2 linked regions of the Notamacropus eugenii genome follow. The protein of the gene in region 1 interacts with the protein of each later gene in a pairwise test. Links are inferred from orthologs where the notes say so. Each region holds a gene or a part of one and is shown on either strand. Other genes may lie near its edges.

What was found. The genes of interacting proteins can lie anywhere in the genome.
Region 2: the proteins of SDCBP2 (region 1) and PRR13 interact in binary tests that used the Homo sapiens proteins (3 or more experiments, as listed by UniProt). The two-hybrid records come from large-scale screens. The link is inferred for Notamacropus eugenii from reciprocal best matches to the Homo sapiens genes SDCBP2 and PRR13.

What each region holds. Positions count from the first base shown.
Region 1 is NC_092872.1:432,993,368-433,003,407, reverse strand, and holds the start of SDCBP2 (syntenin-2), read left to right. Parts: upstream 1-5,457; 5' UTR 5,458-5,544; intron 5,545-10,040.
Region 2 is NC_092874.1:226,457,720-226,467,759, forward strand, and holds PRR13 (proline-rich protein 13), read left to right. Parts: upstream 1-5,301; 5' UTR 5,302-5,413; intron 5,414-5,821; 5' UTR 5,822-5,839; coding exon 5,840-5,858; intron 5,859-6,230; coding exon 6,231-6,616; intron 6,617-8,307; coding exon 8,308-8,352; 3' UTR 8,353-8,941; downstream 8,942-10,040. UniProt on the Homo sapiens protein: Negatively regulates TSP1 expression at the level of transcription. This down-regulation was shown to reduce taxane-induced apoptosis.

The DNA.
Region 1 (10,040 bases):
CGCCTGGCTGCCATTCCCTGCCTGTACTCCCAATCCCTTCTGCTAAACCCCCCAATCTCCTGCTCACAGCTGCCTCTTCAGGCCAGAAGGGACATCCTGACACTTTTTTTAAATTGATAAGAGCAGATGGCCATGCAACCCCTTTCCTGGAGCTCCTAATACATTCTTGTTTATCAAAGCCCCCTGGAATCTTGGAAATGGAGAATCAACTTAGAGTTGGAATGACTCCGTCTTCTGGGGAACATACAGCCATCCTTTATTCCAGATTGAAGGCAAATCAAGGAGAGAAGAAGAAATTCCTCTTTCTGCCTTCAAATAAAGAGTCATAGAACATAGAATGTTAGAACTGAAAGGCTCTTTAGAACATAGAATTCAGAGCTGGAAGAGACCTTAAACAAACCTGTCATGTGTGAGGCTCTGCCAGGCCCTGGAGAAGGAGAGATTACGAAAAATGACACTATCCTTGCTCTCAAGGACCTTATAGACTAATGGTGATAGGTCTTGACCTGATGTACATTAAAAATAAAACCCCCAAACTCAGGGCAAGCTATGTATCTTCTGTGCAAGTTAGTTTTTTTGTAAAATGCATTTCAATGAAATCTAAGGGTCTTCTTCCAACTCACAATCTATGCTCTTACAATTCTCTACGTATGATACAAGGTAGATTGTGATGGGATAAAGGACAGCTGGATGAAATGCTAGAAGATATTTGAGGAAGAAAGGAGGGGAGCTGGGGAGAGAGGATCAGGAAAAGCTTCATGGAGGAGGAGGTGTGTGATCTGGGACTTGGAGGAAGGACATATTGCTTCAATGGGCAGAGATGAGGGAGGAATATTTCAAGAATGGGATGTGGGAGAGAGAGGAAAGGGACTCTGTTCCAAACTGGAAGAGACCTCATTTCCACCATCTCGTTTAGATTGTTATTGGTATCTTCTGTTTTTACATCACCCAGATTTCCCTTGCATCCCACCTTCTCCCAGAGAGCCATCCCCTATGACAAACAACTTTTTAAAAGACAAAAAAGGAAGGAAAGAAAAACAAATTCAGTAAAACTGATCAATGCATTGAAAGAAGATAAACATTATGTTCAATTGTCCACACCCACGGACCTTTCTGAAGGAGTGGAGATAGGAGTCTTCTCATATTTTTTCTCTGGGCTTGTGCTTGTTTTTTACAATTTTGCCACATTTAGTTGCTTTGTCTTGACAGTTCTTGCCATTCACAACATTGTAGTTGTCTTGTATATTGCTTTTCTGGCTGTCTTTACTTTGCATTGGTTAATGTCAGTCTAGGCTTCTTCGTATTCATCACATGCATCATTTCTTTATATGTACAATAGCATTCCATTCCGTTCATGAGCCACCATTTGGCTCAGGAATGCATGTTCTAATGATGAGCTTCTACTTTGTTTCCAGTTATTTGCTTCCGCAAAAGGTGATGTTATAAATATTTTGGTGCACCTAAGTCTTTCATGTTGTTATTGACCTCCACGTATATGCCTAGCAGTAGAATCTCTTGGTCAAAGAGTTTGGGCATTTTAGCCACTTTATTTACCTAATTCCAAATTGCTTTGCAAGTTGGTTGCCCCATTTCACAGTTCAACCAACAATGCTTTAGTGTGTCTGTGTTTCCACAATCTCTGCAATATTGACTATTCCCCTTGTTCTGTCAATTCAGTTGTGATCTCATTTGGGATTTTCTTGGCAAAGATACTGGTGCGGTTTGTCATTTCCTTCTCCAGCTCATTTTACAGATGAGGAAACTGAGGCAAACAGGGTTAAGTAACTTACCCAGGGTCACACAACTAGTAAGTGTCTGAGGCTGGATTTGAACTCAGGAAGATGAGTCTTCTTAACTCCAGGTCCAGCACTCTGTGCACTATGGCGCCACCTAGCTGCCCTATTCTCTTTTGTCAACTTCTTGGGCATAAGGTAGAGCTGTCTGAATTTCTCTTACCATTAGTGATTTGGAACATTCTTTCATATGTTAACTATCCCATTTTGAGAAGCCAAATGACTTGCCCAAGATGACACAGTGAGTTAGCAGCGGCATTAGAATTAACTCCTAGGTTTCTTGACTCCTCCTTAGATGTTCTTTCCATTATACCACGCTGCCCTGGGGATGAATTTGGCTGAAACTGGGTCATTATCAGTAGGTACTATGTGATCAGATATAGCTCAATTGTTTCTTTTAGAGATGAGTTTAGACTCAGTCATTTGGGAGTTTGCTCTGGTTGGAGGTTGAGTGGGATGCAAGGGACCGTGGGACATCAGATCTCCCTGGTTCTACTTCTGGCTTTGACTCTGACTCACTCCAGATTTTTAGGTTAAGTCCCAATAAAATCCCTGTGACTAAGCACAGAGGGTGTGAACATACTACCTGCACACTGATCATGGAACAGTGTAGGTAAAGGCTTTCTTGAGGAAGTGGCATTTAAACTGGGCCTTGAATGATGCATAGGACATCAACAATCAATCAGTCAATTAACAACAGAGTTGAAAAGAAAAGGTACATTCCAGAAATAGGGCATATTTGGGGTATGGCAAGAAACAGAATTTGTTGAGAGTATAGAATGTCTGAGGGGGAACATTGGGGCATATGGACTCAAAATAAAAATTAGATATATAATATATGTAAAAAAATATAACCATGTATTATATAAAAACATATAAATAACGTAATATACTTACATAATTATAAATATAACATAAATATAAAATTAATAATATAAATATTATGTAACATATAAATATAATGTGCAAAGTATATATTAGACACGTAAATATACATATATACATGTACATACATAAAAATACATACACATATACATAAAAATATAAAATCAGATTGAATGGCAGGCTAAGGCATTTTACTTGGCAGGCAACGAGTAGCCAATGAAATGTTCATTGAAGGCTCATGCTTTATCTTGTCTACTCTCAGGTTCTCTCCTACCCCTCCAGTGTAAGTGACTATGCCGTGCCTCCCTCAGTTACTCCAGACCTTGGGGATTTCTCTCCTCTGAGTTCCTACAGCCCTGACTGCCTGTGTCCCTCATTATTTACTGGAGCAGAGACTGCCTTGAATTATTATAACCTGTTTCAATGGAAAAGTCCTGGTCTAGCAAGGGGACACTTGGTTTCTAGGTCTACCTCTGTCACTAACTCACTCTAGGTAAGTCACTTCCCCCTCTCTGTCCATTTTCTCCTCCAAAAAACGAGGCGGTTGGACTAAGGCTTTATGACTCCACAGAGTATGTCATATTTCCTTACTAAGACTATAAGTTCTCTTCAACTTGAGTTTAGATAGGAGCAGGAATATATTTCCTCTTTCTCTTGTGTTCCCTATAAGACCCAATATAGGACTTTACACACATTTGGTACCCAATAAAGATTTACCATTACTTGACTGGGCAGTATAAAGCCAGGTTCAAGCCAAAAATCAATAACTGGCATCAGTCATATTCACCTGCTCACGGTCACATCCCCACAGTCATCACAAAGCAGAGATCAAAAATTTGGATAACTAGTCCTAACATCTTGTGTCTGCCTTGATCTTCTCACTGACACAACCAGACTCACTCAACAAACATTTATTTAGCACTTCGACTCAGAATACTGTGCCAGGAAATCGGGAGGTACAAAATTTAGATGAGATGAGACAAAGTCCTTCCTCTCACGGATTTTATCTGGGACATGATACATAGGACAGTGGGGATTGCATTGACCTGAGATAACTGAGGATAGAGGGCTTATTTATTAGATTAATTGAATGTTAGAACCAGAAGGAAATAGAAGCCCAGAGGAGGGAAGTTGCTTTGGCCAAATACATACAGAAAGTTTATAGTACAGTCAGAACCAGAAACCTGGTCTCCTGGCTCCCATCTCAGTGTCTTCTACTGCATTGCACTCTGCGTGTTCAAATAATAAAGATAGTTGTCTTAATTTTCCACTTTTGCTTATCAGAGGAGACCTCAACTAAGGGATAAGGCCAGGATTCTATGATATACAATTTAGAAATGAATCATTAATTAAACAGTAAGCATTTTTTATAATACCCACTGCTGCCAGGCACTGTGGTAACCCTGGAGATGAAATAATAAAAATGAGACAGTCCCTACCTTCTAAGACCTTTTATTCCATCAGGGAGATTATCTATCTATCTCTACACACATACACATACATATATAATATACACATGCTAAAACACATATACAATATTATACATTCCCATATATGTCTATATAAACATGTATGTATATAAGCCTATATATGCATGCACACACATATATGTGTGTGTGTATATATATATATTATACACAAGAGATGTATGTGTGTCTTTACAGCTCATAAATACAACATAATTTGTGGAGGAAGCAAAGACACTAACAGTCAAGCAGATCATGAAAGGCCTCACATAAGCTTTGAAGGAAGCTCGGTATTCTCAGAAGCAGAGGTGAGGAAATGAAGAGCCTAGAACAGCAGAGTTAAAGGGGCCTTTAGAACCTAAGCTACAGAGCATCAAAGTTGGGAAGAACCTTAAAGACCTTCTTCTAGTCCAATTTCTTCATTATGAAGGGGGTTCAACCTAGCTTATGTATGGCTTATATTTTTCTGTAATTATTTTGTGTCTAAGTTGTCAACTCCTCAACAAGAAGACAGGATGCTCATTAAGACAAGCTTCTCCTTCCCATGTCTGTCCCACAGTGTTAGGCCCCCAAGGAGGACTTTATCAAATACTTGTTGAATTAAAATTACTGATGTCCACACTCAATAGGACCTTCATGGTTCCTGAGGTATAAATTTCATCACCACAATGGTCACTTAGTTTTTGAATTGGCCAATGTCCTATGTGACAGGTAGCTCAGCTATTCATATCTAACATGGGCTTGTCCCTTCCTTACGTCAGCCAGCTAGTGATCCATCAATGGGTGTGCCCAGGTCCTTGAACTTTGACATTTCCAATGAAGTCCTATACCATGCTCTGAGTGAGTAAGACAGAAGTCAACATCATGAAGAGGAAAAGAGGGACATTTTACTGACCAAATTCCAGTTTGATCCATTCTAAATTCTGAGCTCTTGGAAAAGATGAGATCTCAAAACAAAATACAGAATACATACTGAGAGCTGGAAAGAACCTTAAAGATCTTTTATTCTATTTTATGATTTTACAGAGAAGGAAACTGATAAACAGAAGCTATGTCTTGCCCTAGACTACACAACTCAAAGCAATCCCATCTCCCCTTTGCCTATCCTGTACTCCAAGATTAGATCTAATCTCATTACACCCCTGAGAGTTAAAATTGGAACATCATTCAGAAAGTGATTTGACAACTAGCCTTTACCTGTGGCATCCAAGGGCCCCTCCCCAGAGCAAGTCATAAATCAGCTGTGGGTAGAGCCAGGCCAGCCCCTCCCAACTGAGGGCAAGCATCCAGGAGGAACTTCAGCTGGAAAAATAAAGCGTAGAGACTTCCTGAGAGGAGGACAGACCTTCCTGGGAACAGGAGAGCAGAGGAGTAGACTAGTGCCAGCCTCGAGTCTTCAGGTAAGCACCCTTAGGAAAACTCTGGTCATTTAAAGACCCACCAACAGCAAGTTGCTTAACTTTGACTGAAAGGGTGATTTGATGGCTGAAGAACCTTCCCTTTTTTTTCCTCCTCTTGGTCTCCTTTTCTTTTCTCCCTCCTCCTCTTTTTTTCCTCTTATCTGACTTCTTTCCTTTTTCTCTTCCCCTCTTTTGTCTCTCCTTCCCTTTCTCCCTTCTCCCATTCTCGTTCTTTCCTTTCTTAGTTTTCCCCTGATCTCCCTCTCCTTTCTCCCTCCCCTCTTTTTCTCCAGTTCTCCCTCTCCATCCTCCTTTTTTCTCCTCTCCCTCCTCCTCCTTCCTCTTTTCACTCAGCTTCCCCTTCTTTTCTCCTTTTTATATCTCCTGCTCTCCTTCCTCTATCTCTCCTTTTACTCATGCCCTTCCCCATTCCTCTTGCTGTCTCCCCATTTCCTTCTGCTCTCCCTCCCCCTTTTCCTATCTCCCCATTCCTCTTGCTCTCTTTCCTCCGCCCATTTCCTCTCCCTCCCCTGCCCCTTTCTTTTTGCTCTCTTTGCTGCCTCTCTCTCCCCTCCCCCTCTCTGGCATTATTTGATCAGGTCTCCTTAGGGTGCCCACAGCGCACCCCCTTCTCCCCGCGAAGGACAGAGCTGCGCTGTGGTCCTCTCTGCGAATTCTCCTCTGACCCATTGGTTCTTTTTCTTTTTTGTCTCTCCGCCTCCCACCATCCAGTACACTCAATCCTGCCTCAGTGCTCCCCTCCTGGGGGTGAGGATTCCGGAGGTAATGTAGTAAAGGGGCTCTGAATGGCAGCTAGCCAGCCTCCAGCGCCAGGATGAAATGTGAATCCTGGGGATTAAACATTAATAACGTGGTGAGAGTGGGCACTGATACCGTCTGTTTCTTCGCTGTGTTCTGCTTCCCTGGCTCCAGAACAGGGTACTTTGCCTTGAAGGCGTCGGGGCCAGGGGCCCCAGTGGAAGCAAAGGGCTGGCTGGAGCCAAGACCTCTTTCCATTAGCCCCAAATGGCCCGCGCTTCTCTGCCGGCACTCCGATGTCCTCTAATGGGTTTTCCTCTCTGCTAGAGCTGCTTGGAATCCACTGCCTCCACCCCCTCACCTCTCCAAAGGCCCAGAGCAGCCTGTTTCCTGTGGCTCCCCCTTGCCTGTGACGTTTCTCCCCGCTGTGTGAGAAGGCTCTATTTCATTTGAAAAAAAGAAAAGGATTCCCCGAAAGTCAAAGCTGGAGGCTCATGTAGCCCAGTCCCCCCCATTTTGCAGATGACAGCACTGAGGTTCAGAAAAAGGAAGGTCATCCAGAATCAGTGACATAATGAGGACCAGAAGCCAGGGTTCCTGACTCTGGCCAGGGATCTTTCCCCACCCTCATACAATCTGGAGCTATGGGCTTTTTTTTGATAATGGAATTTTTTTTGTTAACATTTTAATCAAGATGACGATAAACAAACCCTGGTGAGCTTTTTTTCCCTTTTTTTTTTTTCAAATCTCATTTCATTTTGAGAAACCAGTTGTTTCCTACCTAGGAATACCTCTGCCTCCGTCTCATTCTGTGTCTCTATTGTGCTACCCTCTACCCATATCTCTCTGTCTCTGTCTTTTTCCCATTCATGTGGTTTCAGGGATGATGATGAATACACACATGACCTTGTCACAACTTCTCCTATAACTCTCCATTTAATTAGGCTTCTTCTGACATCCCCATCCCCCTTCCATAGCCAACACCTTAGCCAGTAAAAATGACCAGAGTAGGAGATGAAGGACAGCAAGGTGGCTCTGTGGATAGAGCACTGGACCTGGAGTCAAGAAGAGCTGAATTCAATTTTGGCCTTAGACATTTACTAGCTTTGTGACGGGGGGCAACTCACTTAACTCTATTTACCTCAGTTTTCTCATCTGTAAAATGAGCTAGAGATGGAAATGGAAAACCACTTTGCCAAAAAAAACCCAAATGGGGTCACAGAGAGTCAGACATGACTGAAACAAAAACAATCTAGACTGAGTCAACAGGGAGATGAAGTTTCCGGTTAGAAGAATAACAAGGAAGCCAGTGTTGCTGGATCTCAGAGTATGTGGGAAGGTAAGGTGTAAGGTATAAGTCTTCTGGAAAGGTTGGGGGAGAGGAGACTAGTTGTGAAAGGCTTTGAACACCAAACAGAATTTTACAGTTGATCTTGGAGATGATAGGGAGCCATTGAAGGATATCGCGTAACAGGGTGACCTGGTAATCTGGTTAGACCTGCAGTTTGGGAAGATCTCTTTGACAGCTGAGTAGGGAGAGACTTGTGGAAGGGAAATCAGCCATAAGCCTTCTTCAATAATCCGGGTGTGTGGTGAGGAGGGCCAGCACCAGGCTGGGGGCAGTGTCAGAGGAAAGAAGGGGGCATTGAGAGAGAACTGTTGCCATGGCAACAGATTGGATATGGAGTTGGGGGGATAGGAAATGAGAGAGAAAGAGAGTTCAAAGAGAAGTGAATTAGAGGGCCCAATCTGCAAGTAGCTTTTATATCTGAGGGATTTGGGAATTCTAGATTCCAAGGATATTAGAATCTCTGCTATGAATTTTACTATGAGCAAGGTCCTTCCTGTTTCAGACTTTTGAATAGATGATCTGAGGGCCTTCCAGCTTCGAATTCAGGAGTACATTGTGGAGACTCTTTAAAGGAATTTTTTTTCAGTCATACCAACATTTCCTCCAAGCTCCAACCTTCCTGAATGCTCCCACCTCTCCCAGCCCCTGAATGGTATTCAAAGCAGCTACTGTGTGCTAAATTCCTTGGTTTTACTTAACCTCAAAGGACCCAGTAGCTCGGTATCTCTGGGAAATGCCTTTCATTAGCAGGTGCTTATAGAGGGTGTGGTAGAAAGAGCTCTGGACTGGCAGTCAGGAGTCACTAATTTGCTGGCTGACTTTGGGCAAAACTCTAGGCCTCAGTTTCCTCCTTGGTAAAACGGCTAGGATGAACTAGCTGCACTCTAAGGCCCCTCCCATCTCTGACAAGCTGAATCTTTATGCTATGCCTTTACTTCTGCTGAATCTACACGTAGCAGGCACTCTGTGAATGTTCTCTGTTTCTAGGACCTGGAGCTCTGAAGAAGGAATTCCTGAATTCCATTGACTGGCTGCAAGCCAAAGCTGCAAAGGGCCCTTAGAACATTAGATCTCAGAACTGAATATCCGAGGTGGAAGAGGCCTAATCACTTGAATAGTCAGAGTCTGAAGGGACCAGCTAGTCTAACTCCCTCTTCCCTGGAAGAGGAAACTCAGGTCCAGAGATGGGGAATGCTGAGTCCAAGGTTGTATAGTGAGTGGTTAGTGTATTTCCTCCACATATACACATTCTATTCAGTGAGTGCAGGAACTGGGAGCCCAGTAAGGAGGGGAGATTCCTGAGCCCACTGTGACTTCTCCTTAGGTAGTGGGAATAGGACTTCTGAGTCTTGGTGGTCTTCCTAGCTGTGGCTTCCAAAGAGGTTAGGGTTAGGCATGAAGTTACCACACTTATGAGCGTGCCATGGGGACTGGTGGGATTGGAAATTTGATTTCAGTCTCTTTAAGACTGGCTGTGTCCCTGGGTCTTGCTGAAAGATGCTAACCTTTTCTTCTCTTACTGCTGCTTTTTTAACCGACTTCCTTCACTTTGAGGGCTTGGAAGTTCTAGAGGAGAGGCCAGAGTCTGCATTCAGGTTCCCATAATAGAGGGAATTCTGAAGAGGGGAAAGTGGTAGGCTCCCCTTTCATCTTATTCAGCCATCTCAGCCTGCCTGTACCTACCTACACTGGGCTGGGCTGGGAGGTACCTGGAATAGTCAGTCTCCCTCTGGATTCTGACCATCTGATCCTGGTCCTTGCTTTCCACAGAGAAGGGGAATGTGTTTGAATCTCCTTCCTAGGATAGACTAGCCTCACCCTTCCTGACCTCATGGCCCAGTGATCTCATCTTTTAAAGCCCTCCTACACTCAGCATAGACCTAAATTCTGCCCTGGATCTGCAAAACTCCACTTTATATGGTGACCTACCTTAGAAATGAGAACTCTCTCAGCCCCCATCACTGCTATAGTGCCCATACCCCTTGCTGGCAGGTTAGCTCTGAGGCCTTATCTCTCTCTAGAAAACTTCAAAGACAAGAGAGGCATGTCTAGGCCTGGGGCAAGTACCTTGCAAGACCCCTTAATAGGGGCTTAGGAGACAAAACCAGATCCTCTCCCTACTCTGAAGGAGCTTACTTTCTACATTGTTGGGTAATATGATTTACACAGACAAGGACTGGATTGGGATTCAATCTATACAGCTAAGGACTGTGGAGGGTAAAGAGGAGATTCAGACTGCTGTAGGAAAATAGGAGGAAGAGAACAGTAAAGCCTGGGTGTGTCAAGGAAGACTTTACTGGGAAAGTGCCAACCAATCTGTCAACATCATGACATCAGGCAGCCAAAAAAAATCGAACACAGTTTTAGTTGGCAACAAAAGAGGGCC
Region 2 (10,040 bases), on another chromosome or scaffold:
GCCAAGAACTGGAAATCAAGGGGATGCCCATCAATTGGGGAATGGCTGAACAAGTTGTGGTATACAAATGTAATGGAATACTATTGTTCTATAAGAAATGATGAACAGGAAGACTTCAGAGAGGCCTGGAAGGACTTATATGAACTGATGCTGAGTGAAAGGAGCAGAACCAGGAGAACTTTGTACACAGTAACAATCAAAGTGTACGAGGAATTTAGTCCTTTATAGCAAAGCAAGGACCTAAAAAATTCCTAATGGACTTTTGAGGCAAAATGTCTTTCACATCCAGAGAAAGAACTATGAAATAGGATCTCAGAATGAAGCAGACCATTTACTTTTATATTATGTTTTGTTTTGTTTTATGGTTTCTCCCATTCATTTTAATTCTTCTATTCAACATGACTAAGATGAAAATGTATTTAATAGGAACATATGTGTAGAACCTATATAAGATGGCATGCTGTCTCAGGGAGGGAGTGGGGAGGGAGAGGAGTAGGGAAGGAAGGGGAGGGAGGGGAAAAAATCTAAGATATATGGAAGTGATTGTAGAACACTGAAAACAAATAAAATAATTTTAAAAAACCAAATTTTTGTCCATATTTCTTGTTTTCTTACACCACCTAAATTTCTCCCTGTATCTCCTCCTTCCTTGTTGCCCCTCCCAAAAAGAAGAGGAAAAAACTCAGCAAAACTAATCCATCCACCGAAAAAAACTGACATTTTATGAAGTCTGGACTCTTTCCTCATCTTCTCACTCTCCCAAAAGAGTAAGTGGAGATGTCTTCCTATGTCTCTTTTTGGGGATTGAGCTTGTTCTTTATAATTTTGCAACATTATTAATTTTCTATAAAAAATAAAAATGTATTGACATCTTTTTTTTTAACATGGCCCAAATTTCCCCCTGTAGCATTACTCAACAGCCATCCCATGTAACAAAGAAAGAAATTAGAATTGGGGAAAAGAATGAACAAAATTAATCAACACATGAAAAAAATCTGGCAAGACATGCAACGTGCAACACTCATGGACCTCCCACCTCTGCAGAAGAATGAAGGGAGAAATGTGGTGCTTTGTTTTGTTTAAATAAGCATTTATTAAACTTACTATGCAAGCCATGTGCAAAGCTTGGGGGACACAAATATAAGCAAAGAATAAGACAATTCTTGTCCTCAAGGAATTTCCATACTAACACCTAAAAGAAGAAATGAAAAGGTAGAGGAATATGGTGAGGAAGTTCTAAGAATGAAGAATAACTTGGCTAGGCTCTTCCCCAAAAGGGAGGTTCTGGGAAGAACACATCAATGGGAGAAGGAATGCAACAGAGGCGAGGCCGTTGAGTCTTGGTGGTCAAGTCCAGAGAATGGAGAGTGGCTGGTTTGGGTCCTCCCTCAAAATGGAAAGCCTGTTCTTTGTAGTTTTCCAATATTCACTTTCCCTTGTTTTGTGACTGTTATTCTTTCAATTTCCATTGTTGTAGTCATCACATATTATTTTCATGGTCTTTCTTATTTCACTTTGCATCGGTTCATAGGTCTACCCATGTTTTTTGGTATTTATTACATTCGATGTTTTTTATAGCATGGTAGAATTCTGTTACATTCATGTATAACAATTTGTATAGTTATTTCCCAATCTACTTTGTTTCCAGTTTTTTGCTACCACAAAAAGTGCTGCTATTGATATTTTGGGGGGTAAAGGATAGGCAGATATTCCCTTAAATCCCCTGATTTAATCCTCCCATACTCTTCACCTCCATCACACACCAGAATACTCATACTTGATTTAATCATCAGTCATAAATGTTCCATGACTCATAGTAAGTACTCAATAATTAATTAATATTTAATGATTAACACTATTATTAATTCTAACTATAGTTAATAATTAATTGGCATTGATTAGTGACATAATAATTGCTTGCATAACTGAATTTACTTGAGAGATGATGGACACAAGGTATGCGTTTTTGGACATGGACACTGAACAAAATTCTTTTGCTTGACTATGCTTACTTGTTACAAGGCTTCTCCTTTTTTCTCTTGGTTAATTAGGGGGCATAGGGAAAACAGGAGTTAGCAATAGTAATGTCCCCCCAAAATGAGGCCATCATATCATTTTTTAATGCAAAGAAGATAGTTCAGAAGAAAGCATACGCAAGTGAGACAATTTTGAAAATAACATGGAATTTATTACCATATATATTGTTTAAAAAACAAACCATATGAAATGGTGATTCAGCTTCATACAGAATCTGTGTGTGTGTGTGTGTGTGTGTGTGTGTGTGTGTGTGTGCGTGCGTTTATGAAAGTGCTATGTGGTGTAATGTGTATAAAAATGTTTCGGGGGGGAAAGTTTACATTAAAAATTTGAAAATAAAGTTTTTAAAAGAATTAGATTAAGTTGAATTATACCTTCTCTAAGCATAACTCTGAAATTCTTCTATGTCATTATAACTTCTTATCTGGCCATCTCTCCTTGTGCCTTATCTTTCCTGAACCCAGTCTCCATCTTCAAGACAAATTTCAGATACTCCAACCCTTCTGCTTTCCAACCTCCCTTATTCCCACCCTGTATTTCCCAGGCCATTATTTCTACTTTCGTCTTACTTTCCTCCCTTCTGAACTGAGCTGCTGAACTGAGTGGAAGTCCTATCATCCTATTGAATGGATCTACTACAAATTTAGGCCATCTAATCTCGAGTGGGCCTCCCCAGGGCACACCAATCTGTTTTCTCTTTCCTAATTGACTCTTCATCAAACTCCCCACAGTATTTCTTTCAGCCTTCATCTTTTTTCAAGCCACCTACTCCACTGCCTTCTCACTCTTTAACTACATACCTCACTTCACACTTCTACTGAAAAAACTAGGCCATGAGTCATAAAAATCCCTTTCCTTTGATTGCAATTGTGAATCACCTGGACTTCATACCCTATTGTCCCTTCCCTCCTGTCTCAGAGGAAATAGAGGCCTTAAGTCAATCCCTACTCATTTCTGCCAGTAGATTTCCCCTTCCATTATCTCTCCCATCTCCCAAAGGTTCTATTTGTCTTTACTATTGGTTTCCTTCCCTGCTGCTTATATGTAAGCCCAGATCACACTAATCCTTAAAAAAATTTAAATTAAATTTAAAAAACCACATCCTCAAGCTAACATCCTCTATCATTCCTCCTATTCACAGCCAAACTCCTAGAAACAAGCTGTCTACACTTTCTGTCTCAACTTTCTCATCTCCCAATTACTTAGAAACACTCTGTAATCTGGCTTTGAAACATACTACTCAATTAAAATTATGCTCTCCAAAGTCACCAGTGATCTCCTTATCTGAGGTTTTTGTCTCTTCTCATCCTTCTTGACTTCTCTGTCACCAAATGACATTATTTACTCCTCCTGGATTCATTTTTCTACTTGGATTCTTTTTTTTTTTTTGACAAAGGTAACTTATTTTTCTCTTACCTCTTTGGCTGCTCCTTCTCAGTATCCTTTGTAGAATCACCCTTTATGCCCCACTCTCTATGTATGGGAATACCCAAAGGCTCTCTCCTGGGCCTCCTTCTCTACCTTCTTTTTCTTTTTAATTTCATTGTCTCCCATGGGCTTGACCTACGCTTTTCTGAGAATGATGCCCAAATTTACATATCCAGTACTCATCCCTCTCTCCTGATCTCTAGTCTCCTTATCTGTAAAATTCAGAGAAGGCAGCTAGGTAACACAGTGGATAAGAATACCTTATACTGTATCTGTAGCTAAGAAGATTCGAGTTCAAATTTTACCATAGATCCTGGCTGTGTGACCCTGGAGAAGAACTTTTCTCATCTGTAAAATGGGGGTAGAAATAGCATCTCAATCTCCTAGAGTTATTGTGAGTCTCAAATAAGGGCTTTATAAACCTTAAAACATCATCATCCCATAGAGGGTTGTATATTATTACATTAGAGGCCACCTTAGATGGCTTCGAAGGTCTCTTCCAGTTCTAATCTATGACTTTATTTGAGCAAGACAGAACCGCTGCTGGGCCCAAAAGACTAGGACACTTGACCCTGGCCCTTTGTGGAAGGTGGGGCTCACCTGCTCTATGTACAGGCTCCAGTGGAGGAGTCCCACTTCTAATGAGAAAGGCTGGGACCTCCTTTCTCATACCCTTCAGCTCATTACACTGGGGGGCTCCAGGGACCACTTACGTACAACATAGGTTCGGTTCATATCTAGGGTCTCCACAAAAGGGAGGGTAAACAAAACCATCCGGCGTGCACTCTACAAGTGTTTATTTCCCACACACAGAAGGCTGCTAAACCCAGCATCCATGTGCGCCCAGTGACAGGCCTGGGAAAGGTCAGTAGGAACCCCGCTGCTCCCCGGGAGCTTACCGGGGAACACGCCTCTAAGGGAAGGAGTTTGGTGAGGAGTCGTTTTACCTTTTGCGTTGCTACAAGGAGAACTTACCATATATTTACAAGAAAAGGCAAGCGGTGCATACTGGAGACCCCCAGTGCCAGGCAGGATTTCTGCGGTGACACCTGCCCAGGACCATGGGCACGCCACCCTCTCCTTTTCGGAGGGGATGTCTCGGGACGTGTTATCGGGAAGGTCCATTTTATTTGGTGTTGGATGAGTCCATGGTTTTAAACAAGGAAAAACTGTCATTCCTGGGGGAAGGGCCAAAAGAGGGTCTTCGGCTCGCAGGGGGTCCAGGGGGTCCTTGGGTGCTGCGGGGTCCGCGTGCCAGCTCCCTTTTCCCCTCCAGCGCGGTCACTTCTCTCCTGTGGGCCAGGCAGGCCAGGCCTGGAATGCCTTCTTCCTCCCGGACCTCGGCCCGGCTTCCCCGGCCTCCTTGCCGGGGGCTCGGGGTCCCCGGTTGGGCCCGCTGACTTCGTGCATGTGCGCGGCTCTTTGCACTCTGCCAACCCCCTCGGACTGGGGCAAAGTATACCAGCCCCGCCCCAAGCGCTTGACACAAGGCCTGGCATACAACAAGCACTCAACTAGTGCCTTCATCGGGCGGGAGTCCCGAGGTTCCCGGCCCAGGCGGGGCCTCGGCTCTCAAGGTCTCGCATCCCAGACCAGCGCCCCCCGCCCCACGCCCTTGGCACCCGCTGCCCGGGCTCGGGGGCAGGGCGGCGCGCATGGGCAGGACTAGGGCCGGGTGGGGCCCTGGCCCCGCCCCCAGGAAGAGAGACCCCACCCGAGGCCCCGGAGCTCGGGCGGACACGGCCCGGTCCAGAGACAGTTTCCCCGGGTCCGGCACGCCCCCCGGAGATCGACGGGCAGTCTGTGCAATGACGAGGGGAGGGCTCGGCCCCGCGGCCAATCAGACAGCGGAGGGGGCGGAGCCACCGGGGAGGTGGGGACCAGGAAGCAGGCGCCGGGAGGTGCGGGGAGGAGAAGGGAGAACTCCGGCTCGGGTGGAGGCGACGAGGTGACGGGGTCTTCGGGGTTCCTCCTTCCCTTCCTTTCCCCGGGCGGGGGGCACGTCCGCCGGGCCTCCCTCCCAGCGGGGCAGGGCGGGCTGGGAGAGTCTCTCTCGGCGCTTGGAGATCCTTCTCCCTCCTTCCCCTCCCCGCCGAGGCTCTTGGCCGGGAGGCAGACCCCCCTCCCTCCTGGGGCCCCTCCTCTCCCCGCCCAAGGAAAGGGGAACCCCCCGCCTAGCTCCGGGGAGGGGAGAAGGGAGCCCGTCTGCCCCTAAGTGAGCGGAGAAGGGTGCCCCTGGAGTTGGGGGGGCAGGGGATCCGCCCCGGACCGCTGAAGTGGAGGAGGCTTGTGCCACCCGCCCTGCCCCCTCCGGACTGCCAGCCTTTTTTCTTCCTTGTTCCTTGTTCCCCTCCAGGTAACAGAACAGTGCAGCATGTGGAACCCCAGTGCGGGTGAGTGCTCCCTTTACACACCCCCCGCTCTTTCTATCCTTCTTTTAGAGGAGCCTCACGGGGGTGGGGAGGGGTGGTCTTCCTGTGCCCATTTTTTCCCTCCCATAGTTGCCAGTTAAGGCAAAAACTTGACCTCTCTTTTTCCTTTTGCCCCCAACACCCAAGCCTTCCCTCTTTGGAGCTCATTTCATTTTCTCTTCCTTCCCACCGGAGCTGGCTGTCCTTTTCTCTCTATATGCCCCCCTTTTTCCTAACCTCCCCACTGCCTGAAGGAAGAGGGGGCACAGGAGGTACCAGTCCCTTCTCCTCCACTTGTAAGAGGAGCTAGACCTTGCTGCCACTATCTTATTCTGTGCTTCTCTCCCCATCCAGGGCAGCCAGGGATGTACCCTCCTGGGGGTCCTATACCTCCTTCAACTTCCGGGTGCCCTGGGGTTGCCAACCCCATCAACCCACCATCAATCAATCCTGCATACCCTCCAGGTACCTGTCCTGCCCCACCTGGGTGTTTCCCAGGTAATCCAGCCTATCCTCCTGGCACTGCTTTTGGCCCTGGGCATCAGCCAGGATACCCAAGCTGCCCACCCCCAGGTCCCTACCCACCTCCAGGTCCCTACCCACCTCCTGGCCCTTGTGCGCCTTCTGTGAATCCCTTGGTCCCAGGGATAGTGGGGCCAGGTATAGTGGTGGATAAGAAGATGAGGAAGAAGATGAAGAAGGCTCATAAGAAAACGCATAAACATCACAAACATGGCAAGGTCAGTTTCTCTGGGAGCCCTGCTGGGGTTGGGATGGGGAGCATTTCATCAGAGTCTCAGGGACACAATTAGATGGCCACGCCAGTCTGGATTTGCCTTCTCTGTTGCTATCCATCCATGCTGTGGGTGTAGACTAGCTACACACACACACAGAGCATGCTGGCCTTACAAGCCAGAAATAGAAACTGGGTTAAATTCTGCCTCATAATACTTCCCTAACTCTCAGTCCCTTCATCCCTTTAAACCTCCATTTCTTGAGGAAAATAAAGTGGTTGGTATAGATATTCACTGAAATCCCTTCTTTTCAGCTCTAAACTTAAGTTTATGGATCTTTGGCAGATATCTCAGAATTTCTGGGGTTTAATTGCTTCCAGTTGAACAGGATTAGTGATCCATACCCTCCCAGAATGCTGAGGCATAGCTATAGATATATACATACATATGAAAGGACTTGGGAATCTTGGATGGGGTTATGACCACCAAGCCAGTGGGTTAATTAATTTTGTCCTTTGACTCTGTAACTGAACACCTGGAGCTAGGCTCCTATCTCCTCTTGTGTAATCTAAAGAAAGCTAACTAGAATTGGAGCTTAGAGAAACCAGAATTTGAATCTTGGCCTTGGTCCCTTACTGGCTGTGTGGCTGTGGGCAAGTTCTTTAACTTCTCTGAGCCTTTGTTTCCTCATCTGTAAAATGGGGTTAAAAATAGCTACTCCACTTCCCCCATGGTGTTGTGAAACTCAAATGAGATAAAGAATGGGAAGTACTTTATGTACCTTAAAACCTTATTGACACATCATGATAACGATAATGGGCCTTGGAAATTGAGACTTCAAAGAATTGAATGACTATTCTGACATCAGGGAGCCAGGCCAGAGTAGTCTGGGAATCCAGGATTTCTGATCTCTAACCTTGGGGGCACTGATCATTCAAGTACAGTGTTCCTTAGAATGGAACTGAGCAGGTCATATGACTATACAAAGAGCCTAAGTCAACCTGGGACAAGGAAAGAGAAAGGGTAGAAGGTGATGGTTATGGGGCATGTCTAAATTCACTTCATTCCAGTGATAGCTGGGATGCTGCAAAAAAGGGAGAGGTAGAAACTATTGGAGGACAACTCAGGAGCAGCAGTTGGAAAATAAATGTTTACCATTGCTGATAAAGTTGCTGTGCATGCAGGCAAACCAGATTAGATAGTAATTCACAATTTTATAGTACCATAAAGCTTGCAAAGCACTTAATGAGTCTTATTTTTATCCCTCAGTACTTTTGCCTAGGTCTAAGTTACTTAAGAGTAGGGGTCATTTTCATTTATGTGGATTGTCTGTACTGAAGGTGCTGGGGGCTATTCATTGCTTCAGTTATTAACATTTATTTGCCAATTCCTATGCCTTCCTCAAAGAGGTTTTCCCATTCATGAAACCCTTTGACTGAGACACCTTGTTTCAAGCAAAATTATTGAAAAGTCCCTGCAACAACGTGGGTTGGTTTAAACTACTGTTGTGGCATTAATTCCAGGGGGAGAAACTTATTTTCAGTCTGTCGGTGACATTCCATGTGTGGGTTATTGGTCTTAAGTGCACCTTGTATGGGAGGGTACATATTAGAGAGATGGGGAATGGGGTGGGACTTCATGGGGTCAGAGTTCAAAGTCTGATAATGTGTCCTCTCCACTTTCCCATTCCCCTGCAGCATTCTTCTTCCTCCTCCTCCTCTTCCAGCAGTGACTCTGACTGAATCCTGGCCCTCTTCCCCCCAAGTCACACCACCCCAGCTTCTCCCATCAAGCCTTGGACGCCATATTGTGCTGGGGGAAGATAGCCTTGCAGCCCCAACCTCAGTCCAACCTCATTCACCCCTTTGCCCAAATTGGCTGGTGAAATTGAGGAAAGGATCACTATTGGCCTGAGGAAATCCATTTTCTTAACTTCTAGATTTAATCATTGTGGGGCATTCCTTTCTGAAGATGTATGCCCTTTGAGCCAAATGCTGAAGAACATTTTAGGATTTGAAAAAAATGTGATTTTTAAAAATTTATCTTGTAATTTGTGTGGGAGGAGAAGAAAGGGTACGTGGCATTACCATGGTAGTTGGTCTGGGTATGGTAGTCTTACGATGATGGAATGTGGGAACTACATTTCCCAGCAGACTGTGCAGTCTACTAAGCCCACTGCCTTCTGGGAAAGAGAGTTCTTTTGAATAGGATAATGTGGGTGCCATTTTGGAACCTCATTTCTTGGTGAGCTCCTTCCATCCCAATCATTCTCAGATCTTACTCTGTTTCTCTCACTGTGCTTCCCAATAAAGCTGTTTATCCCAGTCTCCATTCATCTGTGCCAGTAACTTGGGCTGTTTTCAGTAAGTTCTATTGCTTTTACTGCCCCTTTCTTAAACAAGTAAGAACCCAGCCTACAAACCAGAGCATGAGTGAGGAGGGTACCTTATTTTCACCATGTTTGTTTCTTGAATGGAAAGTCATGCAGTACCTTCCCCCTCCAGGACTGATGCAAGGCTAAGTTGAGCCCTCTTTGCTGATGAAGCTGTTTTTGAGGAATAAGGAGAAGTATTGTAGAATGGAAACCCAGGGGTGCAGTTGGATATGGTAATGGGCTCTTTTGTTCCAAAAGAGGAAATCTGATCTGCCCTTTGTTGAAGACACCCAGCCCTGCTTTAGTTGATGCCAGACCCTTTAAACTGACTTTTCTTTAATGTGTGAAAAACTATCAATTGGTACTGTTCTCTCTGTAGAGAAATAGGCCTGAGTACGTCTAGACAACTGGTGTGTTTCTAGTAAGTTGTGTCCTAGGTGTCTGAGGGTGTAGAGCCAAAGGGAGGAGTAACTAGTTACAGTCCTTGGATGGCCTCCTAAGCTAATGAGAAGGTCAGAATACAGACCCAGACACTGCAACAGACAAAAAAAGGACAGACCTAAGAGAACTACTGGACAACTTAATATATCATGTGATAGAGAAGGCTTTAGGAGGATGGAATGTCTATTTTGAAAGGCTTCCAGGTGGAGAGAAGTCCTGGATTAAACATGCAAAGTGGAAGGATGAAAGGTGGCATCCCAGGTGAGAACACCTCAACATAAAGGCTCATGTTTCAGAGAGGATGCAATGTTTGTAGCAGAAAGGGCAGGTTTGCCTCGCTGAGATAGAGAAACAGGGTGTGTGTGGCCGGGGCGGGGGGGGGGGGGGGGGGGGGAGGGGGGGGAAGGAGGATTGGAAGTAGGGGAAGGGAGCACTGTAGGTTACTGAACAAGGGAGTAAGCCACCTAGAGGACTTCTAAGTCTGTGATCTTATGACTTCAGCTGATGTCACCATGAAGCCTTTGACTTACCAGAGGTGGGGGGCAGTACAGAAGGAGAAGCAGTAAAGTGATCTCTCCCATCTTAAATTACCTATACCTCCTTCACTTTCTCTCC